Drosophila melanogaster: one gene and its partner. Changing the gene in region 1 together with any one later gene gives a genetic interaction. Each region holds a gene or a part of one and is shown on either strand. Other genes may lie near its edges.

Region 1 (6,972 bases):
AGCAGCTCGGAGGCCTCAGACGACGACACCAAGACACGCAACAAGAAAAAGATTAACAAATTTGTCGGTGACACGCCAGTGCGGTTTCGCATGCATCGTCGCGACTCGCATGACGACTCCAGCGACTCGCAAGATCAGCTATATCCGCCGCCCGGCTCGGCCAGCAATGCGGGTAATTTTATCTCCAAAAGCGGCTCAGTAAGCGGCAAAAAAGAGGGACAATCGCAGTATAAAGAGGTACGATTATTATTGTATAATTATCAGTGAGACAGCTACTAAACTTATATTCTTTGCTTACAGCCAAATAACAAATCCGATGAAAATCGCAAATCTCACAGCCAAAAAAATCGGAAACAGCACAACAAGGATCATGTTGATAAGCATTCCCACGCTGAGAGGCAGCTGGCGGATAGCAGCACAGCTACAACAGGAAATTCCACGAATAGAAGGCGGCGCATTCGCGAGAGCCAGTCGCTGGACCGCATCACAGAGGCTCAGGAATACGAGATGCGGCATCGATGCTACGCGGAGAGCGAGGCAGCATCCTCGTCGTCCTCGTCCACCCAACATATCGATCAGAGATATTCTTTACTCAGCCTAAACACTAGCACATTCTCCGTTGCCGAAACCAAGGAGGAGTACGACGAGGAGGCAGACGCCACAAATGCCACGGACCAAATCATGAATACTTTGAATGCAGCCAAAGCAACGCTTCAACAAGAGCAATATTTTAATAACAATACCAATCTTAGTAGGAACTTCAATCACAATCACAACCAGAGCATCATCCACATCAGTAGCCAGAAAGCCAACGGCAAGAAGTCCAACGAAACACCAAAAGATATTTATAATCTGAACTCAATCGAGCATATCGACTTGATTTTGGAGGATAAAAGCCTTACCAAAGCAATACACGTTACCGGCTCTAAATGCTTTGTCACCATGAAGAAAATCCGACGGCTGGGAAAATATTTTCCCGTGATGAACTTCTCTTAATAGACACAGTTACTTCTTTGCAAAGTGCATTCTAAATATTAAAAAGAAACTCGGTTAAGCGAACTACATAGAAAATATGCATGTATTAATTAAAACGTATAAACGTCAACGTTATCCCCCGTATATAGGAAAGAGCGCGAGAATATTTAAATTTAGTGGTAGCGTAATTGTTTTGTCTGTCGTCGTCATTACGCTTAAATTATTCTAAATATATTAATTTATGTTAATTATAAGTCTAATCACTCAATGCAATATTTAGTGAAAATACATTAATGCCCATATGACAATTGACTAAAAAGGTTATTTGTTTTCTTTTTAACAAATTGTGACGAATTAAAATGGAATGAAACTCGCAACTCGCACAATCTAAAATTGGCAATTCAAATGTTTGCGCCCAACTACAGTGTGTACACACCACAAATGTTGTAGAGTAGGTAAAGGAAATAAAGCAATAAACATTTAACTACTTAAAGCTCTTAAGATGTAGTTAAGCAATGATGGATGTCACCAAGCAATTTTTTTTTATTGTAAGAAAAATATACAATATACAAAAATATATTCTTTTATTTTACAAAATGATGCGTGTAAAATACATTGTACCTAATGCAGGTACCCCAAACGAGTACAAGCCACCCTTTTCAACTCTGGTCACACAGAGCACATCCCGTAAAGTTTTTCAGAGATGAGTTTGCGGCAGGAAAATTGAATTATTCACGGAAATAAACAAAGTAAACTAAGTGGAAACTGTAATCCTGACCAGCAATTATGTTGCGCATCTATCAAAATACTTACCGGTGAGAGACCACGCCCGAAACGCGAAAGCCTTACGTGCAGATTTTCTGCACGATTTCGTCATCGGCGAATCTCATCATTCAATGTGTTTTGCCCACAGGCGCACCGCGAGAAAAGCTGTTGTCTACTCCACCAAGGTCGCCTGCTGCAATCATTCCACGCTCTGTGGCATCACCAGCCATCCACGTCGGGCGCAGGATAGCGGGAGCTCCAGTTCGAATGGCAGGCACCGTGGCCACGAGGAGTTCCTACTTGCCGGCAATCCGGCGCGGGGCTGGCAAATGCCTCCGCCGTCGCGTGGTTACGGAATGCTGGTGGTGCGCATACTGCGGGGAGCCCTCAAGCTGCGATACATCGTCCTGGGCGGCGCCATCGGCGGGGGCGTGTCGCTGAGCAAAGTGAGTTTCGCAAGTTATATAACTTGTATAGAACTTAGGAGACATGATTTGTTTTCCGCAGAAATACGAGGAATGGAAGGATGGACTGCCGAATTTTAAGTGGCTGGAGGATGCCATGCCGCAGGGCGAACGGTGGAGCCAGTTCTCGCGGAATCTCATTGAGGTGGGCTCGCTGGTGAAGAACGCCATCGAAGTTGGTGAGTGTCCATGTAGACCTACCATCGCCCTTTCAATCTCTCACTTTAAATGGTCATATACCTTGGTCAGATTCGCATTGAACTCTTCGTTTTGATTGATTGATACTGATGTTATTGGGGCGTTTGCTTGTAGATCCAAAGCTCAAGCAGCTGGGCGAGGATAAGTTGTCGGAATGGCGCAACTGGTTTGACAGTCGTCTGGACGATGCCATCGAGGCGGCCGATTATCAAGGAGTTCAGATTGTCGAAAGTAGGTTACACAAATTACACAGACTCCCAACGTTGGGACCATTTAAAGTGAGAGATCCCTATCTACCGCATTCGAGACTTATTCCTAACATCTGTTGCAGCCAAAGATGACTTAAAGGCCAAAACAACGGTGGCCGCTTTAGGCATAACATCCGATGAGAGTCGTAAGAAGTATGGTAGGTTTTTTGCACACCTGCCGAAAGATATACTATATCTAATCCTTCTGTGATTCCGCAGAGAAACTCCAGAGCCAGGTGGAGACGCTGCAGACGGAGATCATGAACGTCCAGATTAAGTACCAAAAGGAGCTGGAGAAGATGGAGAAGGAGAACCGTGAACTACGCCAGCAATACCTCATCCTGAAAACAAACAAAAAGACCACGGCAAAAAAAATCAAAAAATCCCTGATCGACATGTACTCTGAGGTCCTTGATGAGCTATCCGGCTACGATACGGGCTACACCATGGCCGATCACCTACCCCGTGTTGTGGTAGTGGGAGATCAGAGCAGCGGCAAGACCTCTGTCCTGGAATCCATTGCTAAGGCTCGCATCTTTCCCCGTGGCAGTGGAGAGATGATGACGCGAGCCCCAGTCAAAGTTACTCTGGCTGAAGGACCATACCATGTGGCTCAGTTCCGTGACTCTGACCGGGAATACGATCTCACCAAGGAGTCTGATCTGCAGGACCTCCGTCGGGATGTGGAGTTCCGAATGAAGGCGTCGGTGAGAGGTGGTAAAACCGTCAGCAATGAAGTCATTGCCATGACGGTCAAGGGTCCCGGTCTGCAACGCATGGTTCTAGTCGATTTGCCAGGAATAATTTCGGTGAGCAAGTCAATACAAGTAAAACTGCGCACATCTAATGCTAATATCATTTTAGACCATGACTGTCGACATGGCCTCAGACACAAAAGATTCCATTCACCAGATGACCAAGCATTATATGAGCAATCCGAACGCCATCATTCTCTGCATTCAGGATGGATCTGTGGACGCTGAGCGCAGTAATGTGACAGACTTGGTCATGCAGTGCGATCCCTTGGGTCGACGCACTATTTTTGTGCTCACAAAGGTGGATCTGGCCGAGGAGCTCGCCGATCCTGATAGAATAAGGAAAATCCTTTCGGGCAAACTCTTCCCCATGAAGGCTTTGGGCTACTATGCCGTCGTTACCGGTCGTGGACGAAAGGATGACAGCATAGATGCTATTCGGCAGTATGAGGAAGACTTCTTTAAGAACTCCAAGCTTTTCCAGTAAGTATAGAGAGGATGTGATTGGTAAATTCCAAAGTTCACCTCTCTCCATACTTAGTCGTCGAGGGGTTATCATGCCCCATCAGGTGACCAGCCGCAATCTGAGCTTGGCGGTGTCAGATCGTTTCTGGAAGATGGTGAGGGAAACCATTGAGCAGCAGGCGGATGCATTTAAGGCGACTAGATTTAATCTGGAAACCGAATGGAAAAATAACTTCCCCAGGTTTGTAAAAATGTTTTAAAAAATATAAGAGATCTATAACATTTGAGGTATACTCTTTTAGATTGCGCGAGTCTGGTCGAGATGAGCTGTTCGACAAGGCAAAGGGCGAGATACTGGACGAGGTGGTAACGCTCTCGCAAATCTCCGCTAAAAAGTGGGACGACGCTCTGAGCACCAAGCTATGGGAAAAGCTCTCCAATTATGTGTTTGAAAGCATCTATCTGCCCGCTGCACAGTCAGGTTCTCAAAGTAATATTTTGTAGTACTAAGTGTAGGTTGTAAGCAGATTTCGCCGACGTCATCGATGGGGGCACGTCCATCCAATCGCCCGCCTTGTGTGCTCCGTCATTGTGTGTGTTTCTTGCAAGAAGATATGGCTTGGCCTCGAACCTCACGTGTCTCTGCAAAACGTTGTGTCGTTTAAATGTTTTGTTTAATTTTGTATTTATCATGGCCCGCATTCAGCGTCGAATTCCCGTGCAAGGGAATCACATGCGTTAAATAATTTCAAACCGGTTTGACTGATATTCCTGCAACATTTCTTGAATCACAAGTGTAAATTTAATGTGTACTCCCCGGCGGACGATTTCGAATCCCATTAACACCGTTTGCCTTTGCCCCAAAATAGTGACCCGGGATTGTCACAGGTTCTGCGTTGCGATCATGTGCCGGAAAGTCGCTTATAACGAAGATTTACGAGCACCTGTACCGAAACCAGATTTTGGTTTATGTTCACATTATAAAAACGTATGCGATATTAGCGATTTATGACCGAAAAACCCGTTTAAGCCATCGCTCAGCTTGTGTTTATTTAGCATTTTATGACAGACCTGTTAATTTGCTCAATGAATTCATCCAAATCAATGTCTAATTGAATTAAATTGCAGTTATCGAGTTAGGAATCTGAATGTTTCGTCGCTTTGTTTATCATTCCCCCCGTAGTTGTGTGTCTAGTTAATTTGGCTCAACTAATTTCATACGATTACTATGCTCTTTATAGATTCCTTCAACACGATGGTAGACATCAAGTTGCGCCAGTGGGCCGAGCAGGCACTGCCCGCTAAGTCGGTGGAAGCTGGCTGGGAAGCGTTGCAGCAGGAATTCATATCGCTGATGGAGCGTTCGAAGAAGGCGCAGGATCACGACGGCATCTTCGATCAGTTGAAGTCTGCGGTGGTGGATGAGGCTATACGTCGGCACAGCTGGGAGGACAAGGCCATCGACATGCTTCGCGTTATCCAGCTGAATACGCTGGAGGATCGGTTCGTGCACGACAAGCAGGAGTGGGATTCGGCGGTTAAGTTCCTGGAGAGTTCGGTGAATGCCAAGCTCGTGCAGACGGAGGAGACTTTAGCACAAATGTTTGGTCCCGGCCAAATGCGACGAATTACCCACTGGCAGTACCTGACGCAGGATCAGCAGAAGAGGCGAAGCGTTAAGAACGAACTCGACAAAATACTCAAAAACGATACGGTATGGGTAGTATACATTATATAGTTAGTTATTCCTCATTTACACGCATTACATTATGTTGGTAGAAACATTTGCCCACCCTGACCCATGATGAACTGACTACGGTTCGCAAGAACCTTCAGCGTGATAACGTGGATGTGGACACGGACTACATAAGGCAAACGTGGTTCCCGGTCTACAGAAAGTAAGTTGTAATGCTAAACCATTTAGACTGCTTATCAGTTAGCACATATGTCTCTTTTTTCAGACACTTTCTGCAGCAGGCGTTACAGAGGGCAAAGGATTGCCGCAAAGCATATTACCTCTACACGCAGCAGGGAGCCGAGTGTGAGGTAAGTGTTAAGGTTTTCCCTCTTATCTGAACCAATTTACTTAACTTATTGCTTTCTCAGATATCCTGCAGCGACGTCGTGCTCTTCTGGCGCATCCAGCAGGTGATCAAGATAACAGGCAACGCACTGAGACAGCAAGTAATCAATCGGGAGGCGCGGCGGCTGGACAAGGAGATCAAAGCGGTGCTGGACGAGTTCAGCGATGACGAGGAGAAGAAGGGTTACCTGCTCACCGGCAAGCGCGTGCTACTAGCCGAGGAGCTAAGTGAGTGCTTTGCTTAATTGAATTTGGCGCCAATTTAATTGCTTTCAATTCAACAGTCAAAGTGCGGCAGATCCAAGAGAAGCTGGAGGAGTTCATCAATTCACTTAATCAGGAAAAGTAGTGTGCCATGACCAAAGACACAACACCCGAGGCGTTACTTATTTAACTTGATAGTTTAAGACCACATTTGAAATGTTTGTTCATAGTCACGCTTGAGCCCCTTAGTTAAGCATACTTTGTGCTCCGAAAGTAATAAACAAATAGATCGTTAGTTCGTATTATTGAAATCGTCTTTATTGTTTATGAAGTGTAACCTTATGTCGCATGCAATGCAATGTAAACTCATTAATTTAAATGTAATATAAATCATTCATTCTGTTTTAATGTAATTGTAGTTGATAAACGTTAACGCGAAACGCACTCATCGTGCTGAGTATGTAGCGGTCCGTGTGTGTTTCTGAATCTGTATCGTGTAATATATATATATACATATATATTTAAATCGGTTTGCATAAGAGCACAGCACTTTTACCAGATGCCTCATCGTGCGGTTGATTGTTTGTTTCGTTTTGTCCACGATCGGCTAATCCCGCGATGCGCCGGCATCTGTATCGGTATCGAGATCGGTGGTGGGTGCATTAACCCCGACCGATCGTCTGGCCGCGTCTCTAATTGATTGATTGTTTGATTGATAAACGTATATCTAGCTAACTATGTATGTAGCTAGCTATGTAACATAACAAGTCCGTGATTGCGGTGCAGTACCATATCTCTTACAAGGTAAACAAATG
Region 2 (3,865 bases), 9.7 Mb from region 1:
GCACATACATACATATATATGGCTCTGCTGTATCCGTGTGGGTGTGTGTATTTGGTGTGTGTGAGTGTGGTTTCGATTGTGATTGCTTCCCGACCAACGTCGATCGCTCACAGCTGTTCAAGTGAACTGACTGCAAGTTGATTTGAGTTGAGTCCACAGCACGTAGATACAGATACATGCACCCATACCAGCGTCACATACACGAGCTGTCGCTGTGTGCGTGCCAGAGACCGAAAGAGCGCAGGTTTTTGCGAGAGTTTCCTGACTCGACGAGTCAGGAGCGGACTTGCGGTTAGTTCAGTTGCATTGGCATAAAAGTGCCTTACGCCTTCCTTATTTTCCATAAAAGAGTTATTTCAATCAGCATAGAATTCTTTATTTGATTCGGTGCCCCTTTAAGTCATCAATTCTTCACAGCGCCCTTCTGGCTGGCGCCACCCGCACTGCGCCCCTTGGTTTGATATCAACTGTTGCAGTAGCGCAACAGTGTTGGTGTGCTGTGTGCGGGGAGGGGTGTGTACATGTACGCTTATGAATCAGCTGTTCCACTGTGTATTAATCATATGGCTGTTTGATTAATCTGTACGTTTGCTTGTGTGTTGTATGCATGTATATATACGAGAATAAATACACATTACGTATAAGCGTGCAATATACATATGTGCGCATGAATATGAATCTGGCTTCTGTTTATTTCAGACGATTCCGAACGGTCTTGAGAGCGGAAAATCTGAATATTATACGTAAATATCAGATATTATATGTATGCCAGTACATACATCCTCAGAAAACATATGCATGCAGGCACTATGCTGCCATATACGAGATCTCGAATAATATGCATAAATGGCATGCAGTTAACGTAGAACACTCGAATATTATGCGAAAATATAGAGATAACTATATATATTAACAGATACAAATTCGATGTACATATGTACACATAGTATTTATCTACAGAATGACGCAGCGGAACATGCACTTGCATTTTCATACAGTGTCAGGTATAAATATCGGGTAAAGAACCATGTACATGCAGTGTACATACGAGTATGCATGATTTAATTGTACTCGGACACACGGAAGTAATCGAGTTGATCGCTGCGACCGCAATATTTCATCCTAAGTTTTAAGGCTGCGATATATTTATTTACATTTTATTCTTAATTTATTTCTTTTAAAATAAGCAAATCTCCCAACATACATAATTCTAACAATTGGAGTACTATAACTAGATCTGTCTTCGTCTTCATAAACCAGAATCATGAACGATGACTCATCAATCATATGATCAATTTTTAAAGTGACTTCCTAGGAGCTTATGATCCATAAATTTGTATATCGGTGTTACATCCAGCTTAAATAAAAGTATACATTTATCACGGTTACTTAATATTGCTATTAAATCGCAATAATACCTAAAAATGTTCACTCACGGAGAAAAATCAGATTATCAACAATAAACTCATTTTCAATCTGTAAATAGAAAAATATTTAAATAACCTCTTATTTTAATAAATCTGGAAAGCCCTTTTAAAAGTTTCAACAATTTGAAACTTGAAATTGAAATTGCCTATCGATAGTTTGCAGTTGCCCGTTTTGAATGGGACGATTTTGTGGGGTGCTTAAGTGAATGGTCACAAAAACAACAATACCCAAGGTGATTCAACGTCTGTTATCGATAAATTTTCAGCTCTAGTGAAAAAGTATGGAACTATTCTGGTATAAAACGTGTAAAACTCTGAATATTATTGTGCCTGGACTCTATATCTCGCTATATACGCTACAAACGAAAGCAGAACTAGCCTACAACTGAAAAACAGTAAAGTGCAAAGGATCGGATGCACGACATACGTAACATTTCACCATATATGTGCGTTATTTCACTCCATATTACATTAGTTAATCGCAGTAACCATGGATAAGTGTGTTTCAAATTAAGCTGGCCACCATGCCCCCCAAAGCCAAGTTCAAGAAAATGGCCATTCGCAAGGGATTCCCACCACACCAAACGCATACTTGTGTCTTTAAGTTCAGATGTCGAAATTTCACACCCTTATGGGCGCACTGTTTGACCCCTTCCTCTTTGTTCTCCGCCTGATTGCAAACATGAGTTCCCCTATCTACGAGCAATATCGGTTCGGGCCGTCACGTCCCCTCTCCGCTGGATCACGTACACTGTGGAAGCCAAACAAGGTGCATCAGGAGGCACCCGAGGTCAAACCGCTCGAAGTCCCCGAGGATTTGCGGATCCCAACCCTGCAGCCAGACCCCCTGAATCCGCTGGCCACCATGATGTCTTTCAAGCTAATGGCTATGGACGTAGTAACTCAAATGCAGACCGCCCTGCACAAGTGCGTCAACGCCCAGAGTCCGCCGGGCGCCAAGATGGCGGGAATCGAGTTGGACGCCTTGCGGCGTTGCGTACCGTCCTCGTGCTACTTCTTTATTGACCTGCATCCGCACCACGGCTTTAAGGATACCGCGGAGGATTGCCCTACTAGTCAAGCCTCCAGTGACCGGAATAACAACGCTGGCTGTTCGCAAGGATCGGCTGCCAAGAGCTCCTGGCAGCGGCAGCGTAGTATTTCCGAGTGCAGTGAGGACAGCTTCATTTGCTTTGAGGACGACGCAGAGCAGGCGGATGAGGATGTCGAGGAAGACGAGGATGATGATGACGACGACAGCAGCGTGCAGTTTACAGCATGCGGTGAGGATGAAAATACCGAGGAGCTAAAGGCCTGCCAGTGCAGCGACGACAGCTCGACTCCTGTCAAGAAGGTGAAGAATATTTTTGCGCGGCATAAGTGGGCATATCTAATTTCCTATTTATGCGCACAGGTTCGTTTCAACATGAAACCCGAAGTTCACGTAATGCTCGCCTGGGACTACGCTTATCGGGCTGCCAGAAAGAGCGAATGGCAGGTAATGGCGCGAGATCGGGATCGCTTTCAGCAGCGGATTCGGCGGATTTCACCCATTCTCAATGCCGTCCTGACTCCAGTTCACCGAGATCGTGTCTACCAAGCTCGATTCTTGCACGAGGACTAGCTGGTCCGCATACCTGAAGTAACTTTTGATGTACAGATTACAGTTTAGAACGATTACAGCATTAAATTCCAAGTTGTTTGCGTGTATAAAGTGATCGATTTAGCCACTGCGTTCGTGATTGATTTTATGAAGCCAAAAACTGTTTAACCTGTAAAGTATATCAAAACCACGTACACTTTTCTTCGCCTTTAGTTTTAGAGCCCTAAGAAGTTTGAATTTGTTGATAACGGGATTAGCATATACCTTAATATAACTTGAAATAAATTAAGCAATAGACGTATTTTACTGTGTGTTCTTCTTTTCACATAAGATTGCTTGCATTGTGTTCCAAATTCCCAAGCCAAACAAGTTTGGGTAAAGACTTTGTGTGTACGTGGGTGAGAGATAAGCTCTGAATAGAAACAGATAAGACGGCAGTTTGAAAAAATAGGTACGTTTAACATGGAGCAGTAAATTTCATAAATGTTATCGCGTTAATTCATTATTTATTTCATGATTCCTTCAGTCGTTTGCAACTTGGTTTTGGATCTCCGAAACTTATTTGGCCAATTGGTAAACTCCACCCGAGAATATTAGCTTGTGCTCCCTGACTTTTCGCTGGAGAAAGTGTTTCAGCTCATCCTGAGTAAACTCCACTCCGCCGCTGTGGGAGGCGAACAGCTTCAGCATCTGGTGGATTCGGTCAATTGGCATGGAGTCAAGATTCGTGAGCATTCCAACAATATAGGACCAAAAAACCTGCGGCATAATTGTATAAGAAAAAGCCGGAATTAGGAACAGTTGAAGGCACTTACTTGGAGTTCTTCTTCCCTTT

The links. A genetic interaction does not mean that the proteins touch.
Region 2: of Opa1 (region 1) and PPP1R15, changing one suppresses a phenotype caused by changing the other (phenotypic suppression), as found in Drosophila melanogaster (one study listed by BioGRID).

What each region holds. Positions count from the first base shown.
Region 1 is NT_033778.4:14,230,104-14,237,075, reverse strand, and holds Opa1 (optic atrophy 1), read left to right. Parts: upstream 1-1,626; 5' UTR 1,627-1,761; coding exon 1,762-1,790; intron 1,791-1,888; coding exon 1,889-2,186; intron 2,187-2,247; coding exon 2,248-2,383; intron 2,384-2,516; coding exon 2,517-2,633; intron 2,634-2,733; coding exon 2,734-2,808; intron 2,809-2,869; coding exon 2,870-3,459; intron 3,460-3,514; coding exon 3,515-3,888; exon of another isoform or gene 3,889-3,946; coding exon 3,947-4,111; intron 4,112-4,172; coding exon 4,173-4,360; coding exon of another isoform or gene 4,361-4,374; exon of another isoform or gene 4,375-5,111; coding exon 5,112-5,584; intron 5,585-5,649; coding exon 5,650-5,768; intron 5,769-5,831; coding exon 5,832-5,916; intron 5,917-5,976; coding exon 5,977-6,181; intron 6,182-6,237; coding exon 6,238-6,302; 3' UTR 6,303-6,465; downstream 6,466-6,972. Other genes in the region: Snrk (SNF related kinase), read left to right, coding at 1-237, 301-996.
Region 2 is NT_033778.4:23,975,064-23,978,928, reverse strand, and holds PPP1R15 (protein phosphatase 1 regulatory subunit 15), read left to right. Parts: upstream 1-1,673; 5' UTR 1,674-2,037; coding exon 2,038-2,781; intron 2,782-2,841; coding exon 2,842-3,051; 3' UTR 3,052-3,330; downstream 3,331-3,865. Other genes in the region: mr (morula), read right to left, coding at 3,589-3,789, 3,846-3,865.